3 linked regions of the Lonchura striata genome follow. The protein of the gene in region 3 purifies or fractionates together with the protein of the main gene of each other region. This does not show direct contact. Links are inferred from orthologs where the notes say so. Each region holds a gene or a part of one and is shown on either strand. Other genes may lie near its edges.

What was found.
Region 1: the proteins of SQSTM1 (region 3) and LLGL1 purify together in Homo sapiens (affinity purification with mass spectrometry; 3 studies listed by BioGRID and IntAct, with this or other methods). This does not show direct contact. The link is inferred for Lonchura striata from reciprocal best matches to the Homo sapiens genes SQSTM1 and LLGL1.
Region 2: the proteins of SQSTM1 (region 3) and PML purify together in Homo sapiens (affinity purification with western blotting; 3 studies listed by BioGRID and IntAct, with this or other methods). This does not show direct contact. The link is inferred for Lonchura striata from reciprocal best matches to the Homo sapiens genes SQSTM1 and PML.

The regions. Positions count from the first base shown.
Region 1 is NC_134618.1:15,722,096-15,725,835, forward strand, and holds the start of LLGL1 (lethal(2) giant larvae protein homolog 1), read left to right. Parts: upstream 1-1,096; 5' UTR 1,097-1,135; coding exon 1,136-1,216; intron 1,217-3,740. UniProt on the Homo sapiens protein: Cortical cytoskeleton protein found in a complex involved in maintaining cell polarity and epithelial integrity. Involved in the regulation of mitotic spindle orientation, proliferation, differentiation and tissue organization of neuroepithelial cells.
Region 2 is NC_134613.1:6,279,664-6,283,403, reverse strand, and holds the start of PML (protein PML), read left to right. Parts: upstream 1-1,543; 5' UTR 1,544-1,808; coding exon 1,809-2,395; intron 2,396-3,740.
Region 3 is NC_134617.1:6,704,340-6,708,079, reverse strand, and holds the start of SQSTM1 (sequestosome-1), read left to right. Parts: upstream 1-781; 5' UTR 782-842; coding exon 843-1,020; intron 1,021-1,133; coding exon 1,134-1,229; intron 1,230-2,019; coding exon 2,020-2,249; intron 2,250-2,357; coding exon 2,358-2,526; intron 2,527-2,968; coding exon 2,969-3,058; intron 3,059-3,224; exon of another isoform or gene 3,225-3,561; coding exon 3,562-3,740. UniProt on the Homo sapiens protein: Molecular adapter required for selective macroautophagy (aggrephagy) by acting as a bridge between polyubiquitinated proteins and autophagosomes.

The sequences.
Region 1 (3,740 bases), on a different chromosome or scaffold from region 3:
CTCTCCCCTTTCTCTCCCCTTTCTCTCCCCTTTCTCTCCCTCTTCTCCCTCCTCTTCCTCTCTTCTTCACACCTCTTTAGCTCTTATTCCCTGTCCTCTTTCTCTCCTCCCCTTTTCACTACCCCCTTCTTGCTCCCATCTGTTTTCCTTCTTCCTCCTTTGACTTTTTCCTCCTTTTCCCTCTCTTGGGAGCAGACCCAGCCTCCCCACGCTCGGTCCCGGGGCTGTGCCGGCGCTTCGGGCCCCTCCATCCCTGCGTGAGCCCATCACCGGGGCTCGGTTCCCCGCTCGCCCGGGGCTGTTTTCCGCCCCAAACCCTGCACCGCCCCGCAGCCGCATCTCCCCGGGCCGGGGTTAGTCAGCAGGGAGGGGAAGCCGTGCCCTGCCCGGGCTGACTCACCCCAAAACTGGGTGCAGGGCAGGCTGCACCCCCTCCCACCTGGGGATGGTGCCGCGGGGGGAGTGGGGAGCAACATTCCCGGTGCCCTAGCGGGAATAATGAGTCGCCAGCCGGGAATGAGGCTCGAGTGCTCATTCCGGGAGCCGCCAGGATGCTCCGGGCCTAGCAGCCGGGGCGCCGCCATGTTGATGCACCCCATGGCTGTGGGGCACACCATGAGACCCTAAATCCACGACGCCCCATGTTTGTGGGGGCTTTGGGACCACCGTGACCAAGCTTGGGGTATCCTCGCTGTCTCTCACTATGCCCACGGCGAGGGAAGACGCCGAAAGAAGAGGATTTAAAAAAGAATACAAATAAACCCAGCGCAGAGGGCGTTGAGTTAGAAGACTACATCTCCCATCGGCAGCCGCGGCGGCGCAGGCGCAGCGCAGGTGGGCGGGGCCGCGGCGCGCGGCGCGCGTTGCCGCGCGGTGATTGGCGGGCGGAGCTGTCCGTCAGGCGCTCCGCCCCGCCCCCGCCGCGGCGGTGCTTGCCCGGGCTCGGCGGGCGCGCGCACCGGGACCCCGCACCGGCACCGGGGACCCCGCACCGGCACCGCGCCCCCTGCCGGCCCCGCCCCGCGCCGCGCCCCGCCGCCGCCACCGCCGCCCCGGGACCGGCCCCGGGACCGCCGGCCGCGCCCGCCCCGCCCGGTACCGCGCCGCCGCCACCGCCGCCGCCGCCGGCCCAACCATGATGAAGTTTCGGTTCCGGCGGCAGGGTGCCGACCCGCACCGCGACCGCCTCCGCCACGACCTCTTCGCTTTCAGCAAGGTGCGTCTAGGGCGAGCGGGGGGCGCGGCGGTGGATCCCGGGGGGCGGCGACCGCCGGGAGGCACCGGGGGTACCGGGCAGGGTGCGGCGTGCGGGCAGCCCCCCGGTGGCGCGGGGCTCTGGTACCCCCGCGGGATGCCGCCCGCGGGGAGGCGAGCAGAGTGCGGGGCACCGCCCCCCGGGACCGGCTGAACCCCCGGGGGAGCCGCGCACCGGGACCTCCCCGCTCCCGGGGAAGGGGCACGCGGGAACGGCGGGGCTGCCTGGCCCGGGGATCCCGGGACGGGCTGCTGGGCCGCCCCGGGAGGATGCACACCGGGGGTGGGTACCGGGAGCCCCCGGGTGCGAGATGCGCCCCGGGGTGCGGACCGGGGGGCTGCGCTCCTCCCCGTGCGGTGCAGGGGGGCACTCCGGGAGAGGATGCGACCCCCTGAGCAGCGCGACATCCCGGTCCCCAGCCCCTCCTGGGGGGGCTCCCGGAGCGCCCCGGTTCCCGCACTCCCCCCTGTCCCGTGGATCCCCCGAGGCCTCGCTCGCGGGCGTTTTGGGGTGACCCGTGGTCCCACACCCTGTCTGGCCTTGGAGCATCCCTGGCTGCATCCCCCATGTGGGGCTCAGCCCCCCACTCCCGTCTCCCCAGGGGTGGGATACTGGGGGGCTGGACCCCCTGTGTCAGCCGGAAGGGCTGTGCCAATGACCCCCTGGGCTTTTGGGGTGCCCTGGCACCCCAAAGATGCGTCTCTGTGGGGACATGAGAGGTCAGCTCTTGCCCCCCTCCTCCCTCCGAGTTTTACCACTTGCCTCCTTCATTTGGGGTGGGAGCGACCCCCAAGCTCATCAAACAAGCCCTGAGGTGCCAGACCCTTCCCTCGGGACACCGGGCTGTGCCTGGGACTTGGTGCACCTTGTCCTGGAGGCGCCGTGGTGGCCTTGGGACCGTGCTGCTGCCCTGCCCGCGGGGCATGAGACCACCGGCAGTGCCCCCTGGATGCGCCCAAACCGTGCCCGTCTCTCCGTCATTCGGCCGCGTCCCGGCACTGCCGTGGGGTCCTTGCCCAGCTCCTGCTGGGGACGCACCGGGGCGACCCCCGGCTGTCCCACAGCGGGGTCGGGTGTGCAGTGCTGAGGGGTCAGCGCCCCGCACAGCCCTGGCCCCCCAACTCTCTGCCGTGGATCCGGCCGGGGTGCAAGGCTCAGCCCAGCCTGAGCCCCCCTGTTTTTGGGGAGCACAGTCCCGCGGCCGGATCCTGCCCGAACGAGTGCCCAGGGCGGGTGTGAGCAGTGGGATGTCCTGGGGGGAGGCTGAGGAGAGCCCCTCTCCGGCCGTCCCAGCCCTGGGGCCGCGGGCTGCCCACCTGCCTCCCATTAAGGGTTGTTTTTCCTCCCGAGCTCCAGATCTGCCTGGGATTTGCTGTAATTTGGCCGGGAGCGCGCCTTGGCCGGCCGGCACAGCCTGCCGGATGCGGCCCCGCTGCGGGCGGGAGCGGGGGCTGCGGCGGGGGTCCCTCCTTTTGGGACTGGGAGTGCTGGGGAGCTGCGACAGCGCTTTTTGGGGACTCTTTGCCCGTGTCACCGTGTTGGTTTCTGGCCTAAAGCATCGCTGTGGTGCTGCTGTCCCAGCTCCGTCCTCCAGCGCAGCGTGCATCCCGGGGGGATTCAGCATGACCCTGCGTGGGTGGGCACCCACGAGCACCCACTTCCTCGCCCCTTGGACGCGTTGGGACCCACTTGGATGGGCCGGGACGCCTGGGATGGGCTGGGGGCGTTTTCACGCTCCTGGAGGTGTCCCCTGGGAGGGGAGCAGGAGCTGGGGTGCCGCCGGCGGGTGCGCAAAGCCGCCCCGCTGCGCCTCTCGGATGCCCCAGACAAAGGGAGCGGGTCAGGATCCGGCCAGTCTGGCTCCGGCGGCCTCCGTATCGTCTGATCGCGCCGTCGCCGCTCCGCCGAGCTGCCCTCGGGAGCCCTGCGGTCCCCGCGCCGGGGCCGGGCCGGTGGGTGCCCCCCGCGTCCCCCCGCTGCCGGGGCAGCCCCTCCCCGGCCGGCGAGCCCGGGCACGCCGTTCGGCCGGGACTTCCTTGGGAAGGTGCCCTGGGGCCACGCGCGGCTCCGGCGGGGACGTCCCTGGCGCTGGCGGGTCCCGCTCGCCTGGTTCTGCCGCCCGGCATCGGGGACGCCCGGTGATGTCGCACTGGGGGTCCCGCTCGCCTCCCCTGGGGTGTCCCCACCTCCGAGGTTCAGAGCAGGGGGGTCCCACCCCCAAAGTGCCGGCGGGTGGTGGGGCAGCTCGTTCAAGGTCAGCCCTACCCCGCTGTGGCTGTTGGGCTGGGTTTTGGAGTGCTGGGTGGAAATTGGGTGAGGAGTGATGTCCCCTTTCCCCGGGGCCCTCCTTGGTGGCACTGGGGGACAGAGCAGCATCTTCGTGATCCCCCATCTCCGGGGTGATGCTCAGGCTGGTGCGGGATCGCAGCTGTGGGGGCGAGGGGGGCTGTGGAAGGTTTGGGGGTGTCCGAGGTGGGGGGGGTCC
Region 2 (3,740 bases), on a different chromosome or scaffold from region 3:
CCATCCCGATCCCAAATCCCCTTCCCAGTCCCAGAATCCCCATTCCAATCCTACATCCCCATCCTGATCCCACATCCCGATCTGAAATCCCCATCCCGGTCCCAGATCCTGATCCCAAATTCCCGGTCCCGCATTCCCGGGCACCGCCTCACAGCTCCGCCCTCCCTCTCCCCTCCCTGTCCCCTCCCTGTCCCCTCCCTGTCCCTCCCTGTCCCTCCCTGTCCCCTCCCTGTCCCTCCCTGTCCCTCCCTCTCCCCTCCCTCTCCCCTCCCTGTCCCCTCCCTGTCCCTCCCTCTCCCCTCCCTCTCCCCTCCCTGTTCCCTCCCTGTTCCCTCCCTGTCCCCTCCCTGTCCCCTCCCTGTCCCTCCCTCTCCCCTCCCTCTCCCCTCCCTGTCCCTCCCTGTCCCTCCCTCTCCCCTCCCTCTCCCCTCCCTCTCCCCTCCCTGTCCCTCCCTGTCCCCTCCCTGTCCCCTCCCTGTCCCTCCCTCTCCCCTCCCTCTCCCCTCCCTGTCCCCTCCCTGTCCCCTCCCTGTCCCTCCCTCTCCCCTCCCTCTCCCCTCCCTGTCCCCTCCCTGTCCCTCCCTGTCCCCTCCCTGTCCCTCCCTCTCCCCTCCCTCTCCCCTCCCTCTCCCCGCTCCTCCTCCCGCCGTTCCCGTCCCCGCCGCGCCCCGCAGGTACCGGGAGGGACCCGGGGACAGACCCGGGACAGACCCGTGGACAGACCCGGGACAGACCCGGGACAGACCCGGGACAGACCCGGGCCAGACCGGGGACCCGGGGGGGGGACCCGGGGGGGACCTGGGGGGTCCCGGGGACAGACCGGAGCCCCTGCCCGGGGAGAGGGGCCGGGTGCGTTTTTAGGGCGGGGTGGGAAGGGGGTTCCCTTGGCTTCGGGGGCTCAGCCAAGGGGGTTTTGGGGTCCCAGCCAAAGGTTTTGGGGTCACTGCCGGGGGGGTTTTGGGGTCCCAGCCAAAGGTTTTGGGGTCACTGCCGGGGGGGTTTTGGGGTCCCAGCCAAAGGTTTTGGGGTCACTGCCGGGGGGGTTTTGGGGTCGCTGCCAGGTAGATTTTGGGGTCTCAGCCAAGGGGGTTTTGGGGTCACTGCCGGGGGGGTTTTGGGGTCGCTGCCAGGTAGATTTTGGGGTCTCAGCCAAGGGGGTTTTGGGGTCTCAGCCAGGGAGGTTTTGGGGTCTCAGCCAAGGGGGTTTTGGGGTCTCAGCCAGGGAGGTTTTGGGGTCTCAGCCAGGGAGGTTTTGGGGTCTCAGCCAAGGGGGTTTTGGGGTCTCAGCCAGGGAGGTTTTGGGGTCTCAGCCAAGGGGGTTTTGGGGTCGGTGCCAGGTAGATTGTGGGGTTGCTACCGGGGAGGTTTTGGGGTTGCTGCCAAGGGGGTTTTGGGGTCACTGCCAAGGGGGTTTTGGGGTCTCAGCCAGGGAGGTTTTGGGGTTGCTGCCAAGGGGGTTTTGGGGTCGGTGCCAGGGAGGTTTTGGGGTTGCTACCGGGGAGGTTTTGGGGTCTCAGCCAGGTAGATTCTGGGGTCTCAGCCAAGGGGGTTTTGGGGTCTCAGCCAGGGAGGTTTTGGGGTCCGGGTGTCCCGGCTTTTCCCTCTGTCGGGGCAGGAAGGGGCGGTGGCCATGGCGGCACGGAAAGCGTTTTACTTTCACTTCCACCGGCGCTCGGGAACCCGAGATTCCGGGAAGATCGAGAGCTCGGGAGGGTGGCGAGGGAGCGAGGGGCGGGACAGCAGAGCCCCGAGCGGGATCTGTAGCTCCGACCCCCGACCTGCTCCATCCCGGGGGCGCATCCCCGCAGATGGAGACGGAACCGGAGGCACAAGCGGCACCGGAGCAGCAGCCGGAGCCGTGCCCGGCCTCGAGCACCCCGGCACCGGCCTCCCCTCCCCATCACCCCGCCGAGGGCGAGGATGAGGAGGAAGAAGATGACGATTTCCAATTCCTGCGCTGCGACGGCTGCGGGCAGGAGTCGCCTCAGCCGCGGCTGCTGCGCTGCCTGCACACGCTGTGCCCGGCGTGCCTGAGCGACACCAAGCAGTGCCCGCGCTGCCGGGCGGCCGCGGCCGTGCCCGCCGTGGACAACCTGCTCTTCTGCAACCTGCGGAGCCGCCTGCAGCTCTGGCGGCAGATCCGCAGCGCCGGCGGGCCGGGCTGCGGGCACTGCCGCGCCGAGGCGGCGCTGGTTTGGTGCCAGGAGTGCGAGGAGTTCCTGTGCGGGCGCTGCCTGGAGGAGCACCAGTGGTGGCACAAGAAGAAGGCGCACAGGGTGCGCAGGGTGGAGGAGCTGCGGGCGGGCTCGGCGCGGCAGTTCCTGGAGGACACGCGCGGCTCCTGCAGCCTCTTCTGCTCCAGCGACAGCCACCCCGAGGAGAGCCGCGTCTGCAGGTGGGAGCGCCTCGGCACCGCTGCGGGCGACACCGCGAATCTCCTCCTGGCCCCAGATCTTGTCCTGGCCTCAAAGCTTGTCCTGGTACCAAAGCTTGTCCTGGTACCAAAGCTTGTCCCATCCCAAAACCTCATCCTGGCCCCAGATCTTGTCCTGGTACCAAAGCTTGTCCTAGCTCCAAAGCTTGTCCCATCCCGAAACCTCGTCCTGGCTCCAGATCTTGTCCTAGCCCCAGATCTTGTCCTGGTACCAAATCTTGTCCCATCCCAAAACCTCGTCCTGGCCCCAGATCTTGTCCTGGCTCCAAAGCTTGTCCCATCCCAAAACCTCGTCCTGGCTCCAGATCTTGTCCTGGCTCCAGATCTTGTCCTGGTACCAAAACTTCTCCTGGCCCCAAAGCTTGTCCCATCCTGAAACCTCGTCCTGGTACCAAAGCTTGTCCTGGCCCCAAATCTTGTCCCATCCCAAAGCCTCGTCCTGGCCCCAGATCTTGTCCTGGTACCAAAGCTTGTCCCATCCCGAAACCTTGTCCTGGCCCCAGATCTTGTCCTGGTACCAAAGCTTGTCCTAGCTCCAAAGCTTGTCCCATCCCGAAACCTCATCCTGGCCCCAGATCTTGTCCTGGTACCAAAGCTTGTCCCATCCCGAAACCTTGTCCTGGCCCCAGATCTTGTCCCGTCCTCAAAATGTATCATGGCCCCAAATCTTGTCCTGGTACCAAAGCTTGTCCTAGCTCCAAAGCTTGTCCCATCCCGAAACCTCATCCTGGCCCCAGATCTTGTCCCGTCCTCAAACTGTATCATGGCCCCAAATCTTGTCCTGTCCCCAAATCTCTTCCTGGCCCCAAATCTTGTCCTGGTACCAAAGCTTGTCCTGGCCCCAAAGCTTGTCCCATCCCAAAACCTCATCCTGGCTCCAGATCTTGTCCTGGCTCCAGATCTTGTCCTGGTACCAAAGCTTGTCCTGGCTCCAGAGCTTGTCCCATCCTGAAACCTCGTCCTGGTACCAAAGCTTGTCCTGGTACCAAATCTTGTCCCATCCCAAAGCCATGTCCTGGCCCCAGATCTTTCCTGGTCTAAGATCTTGTCCTAGCCCCAGATCTTGTCCTGGCCCCAAATCTTGTCCCGTTCTCAAACTTCATCCTGGTCCCAGATCTTGTCCTGGCTCCAGATCTTGTCCTGGTACCAAAACTCATCCTGTCCTCAAATCTCACACGGGCCCCAAATCTTGTTCTGGTCCCAAAACTTCGTCCTGGCCCCAGATCTTGTCCTGGCTCCAAATCTTGTCCTGTCCCCAAATCTCATCCCATCCCCAAACCTTGTCCTGTCTCCAAAGCTCATCCCA
Region 3 (3,740 bases):
CTAATAATCATTGATCCATCATTATTTAATTATGCTTGGACAGCACAGACGGTGTGTTCTGCCAGCTGAACCCTCCTGCGGCCGGATTAAGAGGCCTGTCAACTGTATGTGATCCGCAAAAAAAATACTGCTGCCAACCAGCTTGCAAAGGCCACAGCACATCCTCCTTAATGTCAGCTGTGTTTACACCAGTGACCTTATTTTTAGTGCCCGCTCCTGACACAGGGGTTCAGTTATTTATTCCTGCCACGCTCGGCACGCCAGCCGCTCCGGTGGGTGCCGCACGAGCGGGGCTGGCTCGTGGCTCCCGCTCCGCTCCCGGCCGCGCTGCCGCCGTGGAGGGGAGGCAGCGCCGGGATGCCAAGCGCCTGCCGGCTCCCGGCGGCCGGGAGCGGTGACGGGACCGGGGCGGCCCGGCGCTGCCCGTGCTGTGGTGTTGCCCCCGGTGTGTCTCGGAGGTCACCCAGGGGTCCCCGTGTCGCGCTCACTGCCCGCCGCCCCCGCTGGTGCTCAGGGGACCACAAGAACCCCGCGCCGCCCACGCCCCTGGCGCTGCCCCGGGGCCCAAACCGGGGCCGGGCAGGGCAGGGAGCAGACATGGGCATTTGCACGTATCCACAGGTTTTCCCGCGCGCCGTGGGCGCTTTTCCGTGGCCCTGGATGGGGACGGAGCAGGAACGGGAGCGGGGCGGGCCGGGGCAGGGCAGAGGGGGGTGGCCTCGGGGGCGGGGCCGCTGCCGCGGCGCTTAAAAGCGCGGCCGGCGGAGCCGCCGTCGCCGCTCACCCCGCCCCTCGCCGCTCCGTGTCTCGGTCCCGGCCGCAATTCCTGCTGCGCCACAGCCATGGCGGCGCTGACGGTGAAAGCCTACCTGCTGGGCAAGGAGGAGGCGGCCCGCGAGATCCGCCGCTTCACGCTGCCGCCGCCCGCTCGCTACCGGGCCATCTACGACCGTGTCGCCGAGCTCTTCCAGGGGCTGCTGCGGGCCGGGCCGCCGCCCGCCTTCCGCATGCACTACAAGGGTGAGCGGGGCTGGGGCAGCTGCCGGGTCCCGGGGTGGCAGATCGCGGGGCGCGGGGCTCTGGCTGCCCCGTTACCCCACCGGGCGCCTCATCCTGCGCTTCGCCCTTTCCAGATGAGGACGGGGACCTGATCGCTTTTTCCAGCGACGAGGAGCTGGAGTTGGCGATGCCCTACGTGCGGGATGGCGTGTTCCGTGTTTATATCAAAGGTACGGGTAGCAGCTCCGGAGGGCACGGCGGGTCTCGGCTGAGCCTCCTGGCAGCGCTCCCAAAGCGGGAGAAGCCAGCCCCGGCCCTTCCCGTGTCCTCGAGCGCCGAGTGGAAGCTGCGGCCTCTGCGGGGGAGGTTAAATAAAGGGCAGTGTAATGTGACGGAACATGAATTTGAGGTGGGATAAACAAACCACAGGTTTCCTCCTAGCCCTATCAGCTGGCCCAGTGTGAGGCTCTGTTGTCATTCTCGTTCCCTGGATACACTAAACCAGTGGTGGTATCCTAAATATTCAAAACAACATGTTAGCTTTAATTCCACTTTCCCAGTGCGTAGTTGCTTCCCAGTCCCTTGTTCATGTAGAAGCCCTCAAAGCTTTATCTGCAGTCCATCTAGTGAGCCACACCTGTTGTCCCCATTCTCATGTTATGCTTCATGGCATCTGCATTCCTAACTCCTTCTCCAGAAACATTTTGTTCTTGCAGTGCTTGGGAAGGTAGGGTGAGAAGCCAGATGAGGTGGTGCAGTGCTAATCTAAAAAAAGTGTGCCAAGGGATATTTAGGATAACGTAGGCTTGGTTTCAGGAGGAGGTATCTTTGCAAAACCTCTTTGCACGTGGTTTAAGGTCTCTTACATGAGCCTGGCTTAGGTTTGACAGCCAGTGTAAAAATAAACTGACCTAGTAAGTCAACACTGCTCGGACGGGCTGTTTGTGCTTCCTCCTCGGCCTGACTTCAAGGCCGTAGATAGTAATCTGATCTTGATGTGGAATTTCCCTTCCTTAACAGAGAAGAAGGAGTGCAAGCGGGAGCACCGCTCGCAGTGCAGCCAGGAGCCGCCCCGCAACATGGTGCACCCCAACGTCATCTGTGATGGCTGTGAGGGACCTGTGGTGGGGACCAGGTTCAAGTGCAGTGTCTGTCCAGACTATGACCTGTGCAGCACCTGTGAGGGGAAGGGCATCCACAAGGAGCACAACATGGTGATGTTCCAAAGCCCACTGCTTAATCCGTTTGAGGTGAGCAAAATCTATGGAAGGCAACTGATGAGTGAGAGATTCCTCAAATTCAAGTCAGGCGTTTCAGTTGCTCAGAACTCGCTGTCACACGAATGTCACCCTTTACAGTGGATTCCCCGAGGACGCTGGCTCCGTAAAATGCGCCATGGTGTTCCACCTTTCCCATGGATGCACTGCTGGGGGTATCCTGGGCCTGCAGCTCCCTGCCAGAACTCGGAGCAAGCTGAAGCCACCGCTGAAGCCACCACTGCAGCCCCCAGTGCACCTGCTGCAGAAGGTGAGAGGAGGTGCCCTGGTAGACAGGGTGGTGGTGGAGCCTCAGACCAGCTGAGGTTCTGCAGCATAGGGTAGAATCTGGGTGGGAGAACAAAGGAATTGGCACCTTTCAGCACAAAGTGTTATTACTTTAAGGTGTGCTTGGGTCCGTGCAGTCAATGAGGATGCAGATAAAGTATCTGGAACCCAACCAAGCTGAGCTGTTAGGTCAAGCATGTCACTATTGTACTCCAGACCTGCCTTTCAGCATGGCTGATGAGCCATAATAATGCTAATACTGGCTTTCTGTTCCAGAGGTAGCCCAGTTAGTTGTTCTCTGTAGTGCTTTGTTCTGTAATGTATGTCAGTGACAGGAATGAGCTTTAAGCTCCTGTGGGGACACACCCTCTGCAGGTGCCCTTTCCCTCAGAGCTTGTGTGTGCTAACAGAAATTGTTTTTCTAGAAGCTTCTACTAACAGCCAGCCTCAGGACCCCAATGTCACCTTCCTAAAGAATGTTGGGGAGAGTGTTGCAGCTTTTCTGAGTCCCCTGGGTAAGTGATAATGTACAGTTTGTTACCAGTCCCTGAGACTGGCTTACAGGTCTGTTTAACAGGAGCAGCAGTCAGTTGTTGTGACTGGTCTTCAAATTACCTCCTGTCCTAAGCCTCAAAGGCTTAGTTTATACTTGGATACTAATAATGCTTAGGCTTAGAACAGTTGCTCAGTACCTTTTATTTGAAAAAAATGAGGAAAAATTTCAATAATGTGTCAGCCCTTTAAGTCAGTGGTGACTCTAGATTTTGCCTGGTTTATGTGGACATAGATGTAACTTCTGCCCTGCCTTTAAGTATTTGGCTTGTCTGTGTGGAGGAAGATGGCTGTTCAGTGCTTAGCTATTCTTTAGTAAAGAAGGCTTTGCATTTTAATTCCTGCTGTTACATGGCAGATTGTAGGATGACAGAAACCTTAAGAGTGTAGAGCAGGATCGATCCATTTAGGGCTGTTTTGGAAAAAAAACCTCTTACCACTTTGTCTACCTTAAATGCTTTTCTAGGTATTGAAGTTGATATCGATGTGGAACACGGAGGACAGAGAAGCAAAGTGACTCCCACTTCTGCCAACCAAGAGAAGACCGGTGCTGAGGCAACCAGCAGTGCTCCAACCCAGAATGTTCAGACCAAAGCAGACTGGAATAACACAGAGTCTGCTACACAAGTAAATGTCATTGCAGAA